2 linked regions of the Drosophila melanogaster genome follow. The protein of the gene in region 2 interacts with the protein of the main gene of each other region in a pairwise test. Each region holds a gene or a part of one and is shown on either strand. Other genes may lie near its edges.

Evidence for each region.
Region 1: the proteins of CG31760 (region 2) and Tmx3 interact in a two-hybrid assay, tested with the Drosophila melanogaster proteins (one large-scale study listed by BioGRID).

Annotation. Positions count from the first base shown.
Region 1 is NT_037436.4:16,227,358-16,231,858, reverse strand, and holds Tmx3 (Thioredoxin-related transmembrane protein 3), read right to left. Parts: upstream 2,760-4,501; 5' UTR 2,559-2,759; coding exon 2,519-2,558; intron 2,455-2,518; coding exon 2,216-2,454; intron 2,159-2,215; coding exon 1,535-2,158; intron 1,478-1,534; coding exon 1,088-1,477; 3' UTR 720-1,087; downstream 1-719. Other genes in the region: PDCD-5 (programmed cell death 5), read left to right, coding at 1-19, 271-385, 443-666; l(3)72Dn (lethal (3) 72Dn), read left to right, coding at 3,232-3,368, 3,439-4,501.
Region 2 is NT_033779.5:12,140,674-12,145,793, forward strand, and holds the start of CG31760 (uncharacterized protein), read left to right. Parts: upstream 1-2,106; 5' UTR 2,107-2,160; exon of another isoform or gene 2,161-2,182; intron 2,183-4,375; exon of another isoform or gene 4,376-4,396; 5' UTR 4,397-4,593; intron 4,594-5,120.

The sequences.
Region 1 (4,501 bases), on a different chromosome or scaffold from region 2:
CCAAATGCAGTCGCAATTCGTAAGTGAAATATTTGAGTGGCTCCAAACCGGCTAGATTCCTCTAGAGAATTCCAAAAATAGTCATAACTTGGAATGAAAGCAAATTAGACTATATAAAATATAATAAAAATGTTAAGAATACATTAGCAATGGTATGCTTTGTTAGTTCTTATAGACACCTTCCCTATGAGTCATCCTTCTCGACTGGGACACCTGTTTCTTTAAAGGGCAATCCTTCAATGACCTTAACTCCTTTTTTCCTATTTTTAGGGCGGCGGCAATGATGCGGAAAAGCAACAAGCCCAGCAGGAGCAGATGCGCGCCCAGGAGGAAATGAAGCACTCGATATTATCCCAAGTTCTGGACCAGCAGGCCAGGGCACGACGTATGTGGATCTAGACCTTGAATATCTCTAGCTAATAACTTATAAAATATCATTTAGTTAATACCCTCAAAGTCAGCAAGCCGGAGAAGGCGCAAATGTTCGAGAACATGGTCATCCGCATGGCCCAGATGGGTCAGGTGCGTGGAAAACTTGATGACGCCCAGTTCGTCAGCATCCTCGAAAGCGTCAATGCTCAGATGCCGCAGAGCAAGTCCTCCGTGAAATACGATCGGCGGCGGGCGGCCATCGATAGCGACGACGACGAGGATTACGGCTGCTGATTCGTCCGAAATTCCGCCCAACATCTAATTTAAGTTATGCCCGCTCCTCACATCCGCTAAATCATGTTTATTACTTTTACTAACTTAAAACGAGAAACAAAACTAGATGCCCAAATACGTATGGACTTCTTTGTGTCAGATGGCGAATCTTAAAGCGTATTGGAAGTTCGTGCCAAGCGGCAATGACATACACTGACATAGGACTAGATTTGGCTTACATTTATATGCGGTAGAAAAGTGGTCTAGAGGAGGGGTGGGGTCTTCTACGACTTCTTATAGGGATTTATCATTTCATATTCTTGTATGTTCCTAGCTTTTTATGATCTTGCTCGGAAATGCACTATGAGATCATCTTATTTACTTTCTCTAACATTCACTCGCAATCAAAAGCTTTCACTAGATTCATTTTTAAGTTATCCCTTTACTCCTTCTTCTCGTGATCTTCATCGGGATCTTCTTCTGTGACCAAGCAATCGCCGCAGAAAATAGAGTACATGATGAGCGATAAGAATCCCAATGGCAGGCCGAAGATGACAGTGGTCAGCACGGGATTTCCCAGCCACATATCCCTTAATGCTCTTCGCACTTCGAACAGTGCCCGATTCAAACGTACAAAGTACGTATCTCCTCCATAGGCAATGGCACTTTCGTTGCGGATGGATTCTAGGAAAAGGTGCAGTGCCTGTGGAGTCATTTGCATTGGATCATCTTCGGGTATGAAGTGGTGTTGGGTGCTCGAATTAATCGCTATCAAGTGAGGCGTGGGCAGTTGATCCAAGATAATGGAATGTGCTATTGATGGCTCGCCAATCTGAAATGGAAATATTGATTAGCTCCAAATCGATAAAACTATGATAGAATCACTTACCCATCCAAATTGGAATTTGTCATGATATCGCGCCCTATGCTTTCTTATCACGCCCTCCACCATGTCCCGAAACTCCAGCTCATGCGTGGCTATCTGATTGAGCTTATCCTCCTGTACCACAGCCAAAACCAAGTACTTGTTTGTCTTGAGCAGCTGGTGGATGTTGAACCGAGTGACCTTTGGGAAGAGTGTGAACCTCTCCACGTTCACCCATTGGAAAACGGTTTCGTTCACTTCATTGGGGTCCATTTCGTGCGCCAAATGCCCATGCGGATAGAAGTGGTGCTGCTCTTCTTTGTAGACAATCACCGCTGGCAGTTTCTCAAAGTCAAAGTGTTGGGCAGCGATATCCTCGCTGGTGGCATAGAAAAATCCATGCTCTTGGTAACCTTCAGCTGCAGCATAGTATGTATCCCACACCACGCCCTCCTGTTGGCCTACGAAAATGAAAAATATCGTATGGGATCCCTTTAGCATGTCCACACTCTCCGTTCGCGTGACCAGCTGAACTGGAGGCCCAGACATCCTTAAGGCATAATCCACCAGCTCATCGCGACCGCGGTCTCCGTTGTAGGTGAACTCCATGTTGCCCTTGATGAACATAATGGTGGGATAGCCACGAACCTGTAAGAATTTGGGGATGCTTATAAGGAACTTGGACCAAATATGGTATATTCTCACCTTGAACTCCTTCGCCGCCGCCGGATACTTGGTACAATCTAGGCGACCCACTCGAACGTTGGTGGCATGCAAAGCCTGAGCCACCAGAGCAAAAATGGGCTCCGTTTTCTTGCAGTAGCCGCACCACGGGGCATAGAACATGACCAACCATTGGCCCTCGTGTCGCACATCGATGAACCGGTCACTGAGCTCCAAAACCTTCGAGGATAGCCCCGTCGAACCCAGAGTCAGAAGCAGAGCTGTTGGTTTTGTAAATCATTTAGCATCAGCTTGGATTTTTTCTATTGTTCGTAATTTATTTACCACTTATGAGGCCGAAAATCCACATAGAATTTGGCGACATCCTTGCAGCAGGTTTAATTTGTACTTCCAAGTGTAATTTACGTGCCCCTTATTTGCTATATCATGCTTTCCGTTATTTTAATAGCTTCTTTACTTAATTTAATTAGTTGATTGGTTTAATTTTCAGTTCCAAATTATTTTCCTTCGGACCACAGCAACAACAAAAGAAAACATTTGCAAAAACCACCCCCTTTAGACTGACCAGATGTGGAAAATATCCAAAATACTTAAGGAGATACTCTTTAGTCCAATGCGTAAATTGAACAAGTTTATTTATTAATTTTGTAGTTGTTTGGATTATGTTTTTAAAAGATTATTGAACTCAAGATTTTCATTCTACTATAACCTTAAAACTAAAATGAATTCGAAATAAAAACTAATTAAATTTTTTTATATGCATCTCTAAGAATTTATCTTTAATAATGACATAGTTAATAATTACATTTATAAAAGAATTTTTAATTTTGAAAATAAGTTTTTGAGCGGCCATAGAGCGGCTGCCTAAGGGTTAATCTGGTATATTTTTAGTCAGATGGCAACTCTTCAGCTTTGTTTACCTCACAAAATAGACTATCTGGCAACTCTTAGGCACACACGTGCATCTCCAGAGGAATTTTGTTTCAGTTGTTGTTCCTTATTTCTTCTTAACTAAATAATTGTATTAACTAAATAAAATGACGAATAATGCGAAGAAGGAACCCCAGCAAAGGGGCAAGCATCAGGTGCATAATGTGCGCTTCTACACTATAAAGCCGCGTGAAATTGTCAGCTTGGCGTATAGTAAATCGAGCAAGTGCCTCGCTCTGAGTCGGTAAATTATTGAAAATTAAAAAAAACCTAATAATTACTGTGCAGTAAACTAATAAGTACACTCTTTGCAGTGCAACACCCGTCATTGAGCTATGGAACCTGGAGCACGCCCCGTATTTGGATCGTGTAATCCACCTGCCCACCGATTCTCATGTGGAATCTATAGCCTGGGCGGGAAACCGCTTATTTTCCGTGGATTTAAGTGGTAAACTGATCGAGTGGGATGTGATTAAGCTAAAACAACGATATGAGCACTCGCCCACTGGCAATGCTCTCTGGAGTATCGATGTGAATCCCGCGGAAACGGATATTGCCATTGGCTCAGAGGAAGGGCACATCAACATCCTGAGTATTGAGAATGACGAAATCACCTATAAATCCCTATTTAACAAGCAAAAAGGTCGCGTTCTCTGCATCAAGTTTGATAAGACTGGAACTAAACTGGTGACCGGCACTGAGGGATTTGTTCGCATTTGGAACGTCCTCAAGGGAACCACTCTGCACACGATGACCCTATCCGAAAAGAACGTAATAGTTTGGTCCCTGCAGGTGCTATCCGATAATACGATTATTGCCGGTGATTCAGCGGGATTTGTTACCGTTTGGGATGCGGATAACGCGACACAGATAGATTCCACACGAGTTCTGGATAAAAACGTATTTGCCCTGGCTGTGAATAATAAGGAGGATCGATTAGTTTGCAGTGGAATGCAGCCGCCGCTCATCCGGATTTTCAGCAAAACCAAGATAAAGCGGGAAGAGTCCACCAGCGAGCGTTGGATTAAATTCCTACAGCGCGATGCCCACAAACACTATGTGAAATCCCTGTTGGTTATCGACGATCAAATTTATTCGGGAGGCAGGGATGGCATATTGACCATTACGTCCAGTGAACGAATGCAGGCACATTTGTCGCAGCATGCTCCCTTTCTGAAAGGTTCCGTAGCTTCCATGGCAATCAGTAAAAAGCTTTTGCTTTTGCGATATCCCAACAGCGTGCACCTGTGGCGCTTGGGTTCTGTGGCCCCGCAAGGCGAGGACAAGAAGAAACCCTGGGCACTGCCCGTCGGCCACACGGAGGAACAACTTCTGGAGCTGCCACCCCAGAAACTTCTCCAACTAAATGTCAAAGAG
Region 2 (5,120 bases):
CTCCGTGAAGCTTGCAAAAGGGCAGGAGTAGAGGACAGCTACACAGGGTTTCTAATGCAATTTCTATCAAATGTCAATTGAAACCCGATTTGCCAGTCATCAGTCAGGGCCTCTATTCCACGCCCAGTCCACAGTTTGTGGCCAGCGAACGGAAGTCGCGGGATTCGTGGAAAAGTGAAAACGGGAACGAGGAAGGATGCTCGACGGCAGAAAAAGAAGGACATGAAGCAATTTCCGCTTTCAATCACGTTTAGTGCACCGGAAATGTGTGCAGAAATATGTTTCTTCTCCCATTTTCCTATGCAAAATTTTCCAACCGGAATGAGGTTAGATTGTAAATTACATTTGGGTGCGGTTCAATCTATTTTCACGGAAAAGAGGGGCAATCGAGCACCATTGAGTGTCAAGGGAAACTCAATTAATTGCACATTATGTGCGAGGAGTATGCGTTCGATTGATTTTTTGTCACACTTTCTGTCTCTTTTTCTTACACACGCTGCGTGTTTCACATTACACACTTTATCAGTGCACTGAAAGCTATTTCGTGGTTTAAGAAAAATAAAATTACCTAAAATATATAAGCAAAATATATGGCTATAAAGAAATTATGAGAGATGAATAATAATATAAATATATTTAAAAACTTTTTAATTCTTATAAATAAGTTTTTTTTATTTAAAAAATAATAGTACCTTAACAGAGAGTAAGCAGTGTTCAAACAACTAGGTATGGTTCGCTTCACCGTTTCATTTAATTAAAAAAGTATGTACACATATCAATGAAACTGTCAATCAGGAAAAGTGGACATACTAATTAAAAAGTTTATGCGATTTTTCTGTGTGCCTGGTTTCACTGGCTACTAGAACACACACGTAAATCAATATATGGCTCGATTGGCTCGTTTGCACACGAATCCCCCTTCCATGGTGGAGAAATGAATAAAGAGACACAAGGGCCTGCGGAGAAAGCGGATGAAATGTGGCTGTCCTGGTCAGTAAAGTGGCTGGAAACAGAAGCAACAGGCAACACACATATTACCTGCAAATTACGTCAACTGTTGCCGGGTCAGGTTAAAAGAGGTCGGACTTCAAGTTAAAATGGTCGCTTCTTCAATGGAAAAAATAAGCAGCTACAAAAGTTCACCGTAAAAAATAATAGAAGGGGAATATTTGTATCTTTTCTCTTAATTTAGTGGTTAATTTGTAATTGTATATTATATTTATTCTTTGATCAGTCTATGTTTCTCGAAATAATTGACTTTTATAATAGAGTGAACTGCAACTGCAGTAGATTTATTTTCAGTGAAAAGCTCGACATGAGCCACGTGACCCCTGCACGGCAATGTGAAATGTCAGAGCACTTTTAAGAGTTCATTTAGACGGTAGCAAATTTTATACCGAAGCGTTTAATGCGGTGGATGTGCATGGGAAAATACTGTGTCAGAAAAAACGGTAAACACAAGCAGGCAAATGTCAACAGGTTGTTTCTGTTGCATCAGTAATTGAGGATGAAAACGTAATGGTTTTTCGGGGAAAGGAGTTCCCTGGACATAGTATTCCAGTGCGTTCAACGGTGGCATAACTTATTTATAACTCATTTGGGGTAAGCTTGACCCCATTCAGTTTGTTAAATATACACAAGGACATGAAGGACCCTAAATGGGAATTTACATCCCTACCTAAAATTGCTCTATAATATAAAGAGCTTAAATAAAAAATGTAATAAATATTAACAAGCAAGTTGCTGTTTAGATACGTAAAAATATTTAAACAAAATTATGCAATTTATGAAACTAAATGTACATTCAAGGACACAAATTGATGTAAGCTAATTGTTTACTTTGGCATGACAACACTGGCACAAAACGAAAGCTTTCACACTACAGGTGTCTTTGCGAGCGAGCGACAAGTGTGGTGAATTTTGCGAACATCCTTGAGCACGCAGTCACCGTTGCAAGCGCAAGCGAAGGCAGATTGTGCGAGGACTCGGTTCGAAATCAAATCAAATTGATAACAGAGAGAAAGAGAAAGCAAGCACACGAGAGAGCGAAAAAGCACGAAGCCAGGCGAACTTTTCCTTTTCCTTCAGCAGGAGCCACGGATAACGGGACAGTTCGTCGCGGAGTTTCGAGTGTGTCGGTTGTGCCATAGCGGAATAACGGTACAACAAAGCCAGTGTGTGTGTGAGTGTGTACGATTGTGTGGGTGCCTCAGCCTCAGTGTTTTGTTGTCAAAAAGAAACTATAAGACGATGACTGCTTAAAATTTAATATTATTATTAAAAAATCATCCAAAATATGCTTGGCATAAATAAAAACCAAAGCATAGATACTATGCCAATTAAACAAACGCAGCTTCGTATAATTAATATATATTAAATTCCAAAACCTATCAACGTTATTCAATTTAGTGACTGCAATTAAATAAAACACAAGAATGTGTTTTGATATCAACTCTGTTGAATAATCAAGCAGAGCAGACTGCGCAGTTTGGCGCCGCGTGGGCGTTTGCCCAAAAATACAAGAAGTGAAACGGAGAAAAGGGCAGAAAAAACCTAAGAAATACATAAATCTCTCCTAGACAGAAAACGGTGTGCCTGCCTCTGATTTTTACTTACAAGTTGCTTTTGCAGTCTTATGCAAACGCAAGATCTTTGCACTCCTATTTATCATAATGTATCCACTTAAGTAATTCCAATGTGTTGGAACTCTTGCTTTAAAAGAATAACTACTTCGAATATATTTAGGTATTGTTCACAAGAAATATATAAATTTCTCAAAAGAACTCCTTTACTCTGTGCCTATTTAGAAACATATAATTAGATAGGAAGTACATTCATATCAAAGTAAAGTGAAAAATACTGTAGCAATTATGTGATGAGAATTAAAACATTCGACTCATTGAAAGTAATTAATTATTTCAAGCAGTTTTGCCCTTTCAGTTAAACTTTGGATCATTAAAAAGTAAAGATCCTAGGCTATAGGGCTAACTTTTTCAGCCATTTTGTTTCGTATTTTGCAGTTCTGACCGCTGTAATGTCCTTGCAAGTTGCACCTTTTCAAAACGTTGGTGTGCTAAGAGCATTCAGCCTTCTGCCTGCCAAAGGAGAAACGACAACTTTCCACTGCTTTCTCCAGCACTTTGCTGTCTTCTTCTTGGCGTCTCGCTTTCCCTTGGTCATGAAAATCAAAGTCCCCCGTGTGCCCAATGTCAATGTATTGGCCCCATCTGTGCCTATTGCTTCGGTGTGAGCGCCCACACACACACACACAAACACACGCACACGCATAGGCGTATATGTATGTGTGTATTATACGGGTGTTTGTTGTGGGGGCGTGAAAAGTTGGTCTTCCTGTTTGAGTTGCGTATTTGCGCGCCATTTCAGCATTCCGCTTTTTATTTACTACAAATTGCTTTGCATTTTGGACCAGTTTTGCTTTTGTGTAATTTTGCTTTCCTCTTTTTATTTTTTGTACTTTTGTGTTTAATGCGCTGTTGGCAATTTGTTGGATATAAAAATTACAACGCACCCGCCCCTCCACCAACGTCTGAGCAATGAAATATTGTAATTAACTTTTCTGCCAACGGGCAAACCGATGGAAATTTCTGCCTTCATGAGGCGGCAACAGGTTATACAGCAGCATCAATTAATTTTTTTAATAACCGACAGTTCACGCCTAATAAATATTCATGAATATATCAGCTCAGCTGTAGGGAATTTACGAAAGACTAGCCAACAAATGTACTCCTTCCGCGATTTGCTTTTGGCAAATTTTAAGAGTATTTAAAAGTTTCTTTTTTTTTCCGTCCCATCAGAAAGTTTGTGCAGCAACTTTCCTCCGTTGTCCTTGTGGGCTGAAGAAAACTTTTAGTTCCATTAATTATTAACGATAATGTGTGCTCAGCTCCACGGATGCTAAGTTCAAAATTGCTAGAATACTGGCATAAAGTTGGCAAATAATTGCAAGTCACCGAAGGAAAGGAAGGAATTTTAATCAAAATATTTGTAATATTTGACATTGATATTTTATGCTAAAGTGCGTCCTCCAATTTACAAGTACGCAAATATTTAGACATGAGTTATGACTCTAAATTGAAATTTGAATTCTCTAAAATGGTACTTGTGAGTCAGAACTGTTCAACATTAACACTATATAAAGTATAAGCACTCGAGAATCTTGAATAGCAATCACAAATATTCGTTACACTTCTTAAGTATTAAACCAATAAAAAACTCGACACAAATAACACATAAACTCGATGAGCAAACATTGCATAACTTGAAATAAAGCCAATTTCAACAATAACGAGCCAAAGCGACATTCACCAAATATTCAAAAGCTGGCAAAAGCCAATAGCATTTCTAAAAATGTATTTAAATATTTGTGCACACACAGAAGAAAGCAGCTACAAACAAAATTGAATAAAACCAAACAATAAAAGAAACGTTAAAGTGGAGGGAGATGATGAAGTGAAAATAACAGGCTCAGTGATAACTGATACAAAAGGAAAAACGCTTGAAAATCAGACGTCTTTGATTTTGCAGAAGGCAATAGAAAGTGCGAGTCATGATTTGATTTTCAGGAAAAAGGAGGTAAGTAAATGTTTAGTTATAAGAAAAGTGATGAGTAAGCGATACTCTAGGCAATGCATAAACTAAGCAGAAATATATTCGTTATACTTTTATATTGAAGCTGCGCGTTATTCCTTTGCAATATTTTCCCATGTTCGCTGAGTAAAACGCAACTAACCCAATTTTCATAATTCATTCAACAACATGAAGCAGCTCCCCAAAGTACGGCATAGATATTCCATTTCATCAGATGTATTAGCAAAATGAGACCCGAAACCACCACTCTAGAGATTTAAATTTAGCCCAGACCTTCGAGAACCTGTGCGTGTATGTAGTATATACATTTTATGTGAAGCATATACAAAATTATTGTACATAATTGAATCCCTTGAATTATTTACTCGTTGAGGGTTTTGGGGTTGTCGACGGAGGCAGCATTTAACCGCCATTTGACTCTTAAAGTCCGCAAAGTGTAATAAAATTAAATGGCTTTAAGGCTCAAACGCGTCTGGCGACCCTGGAAAGTATGCTACGAATTCTGTCCAGAA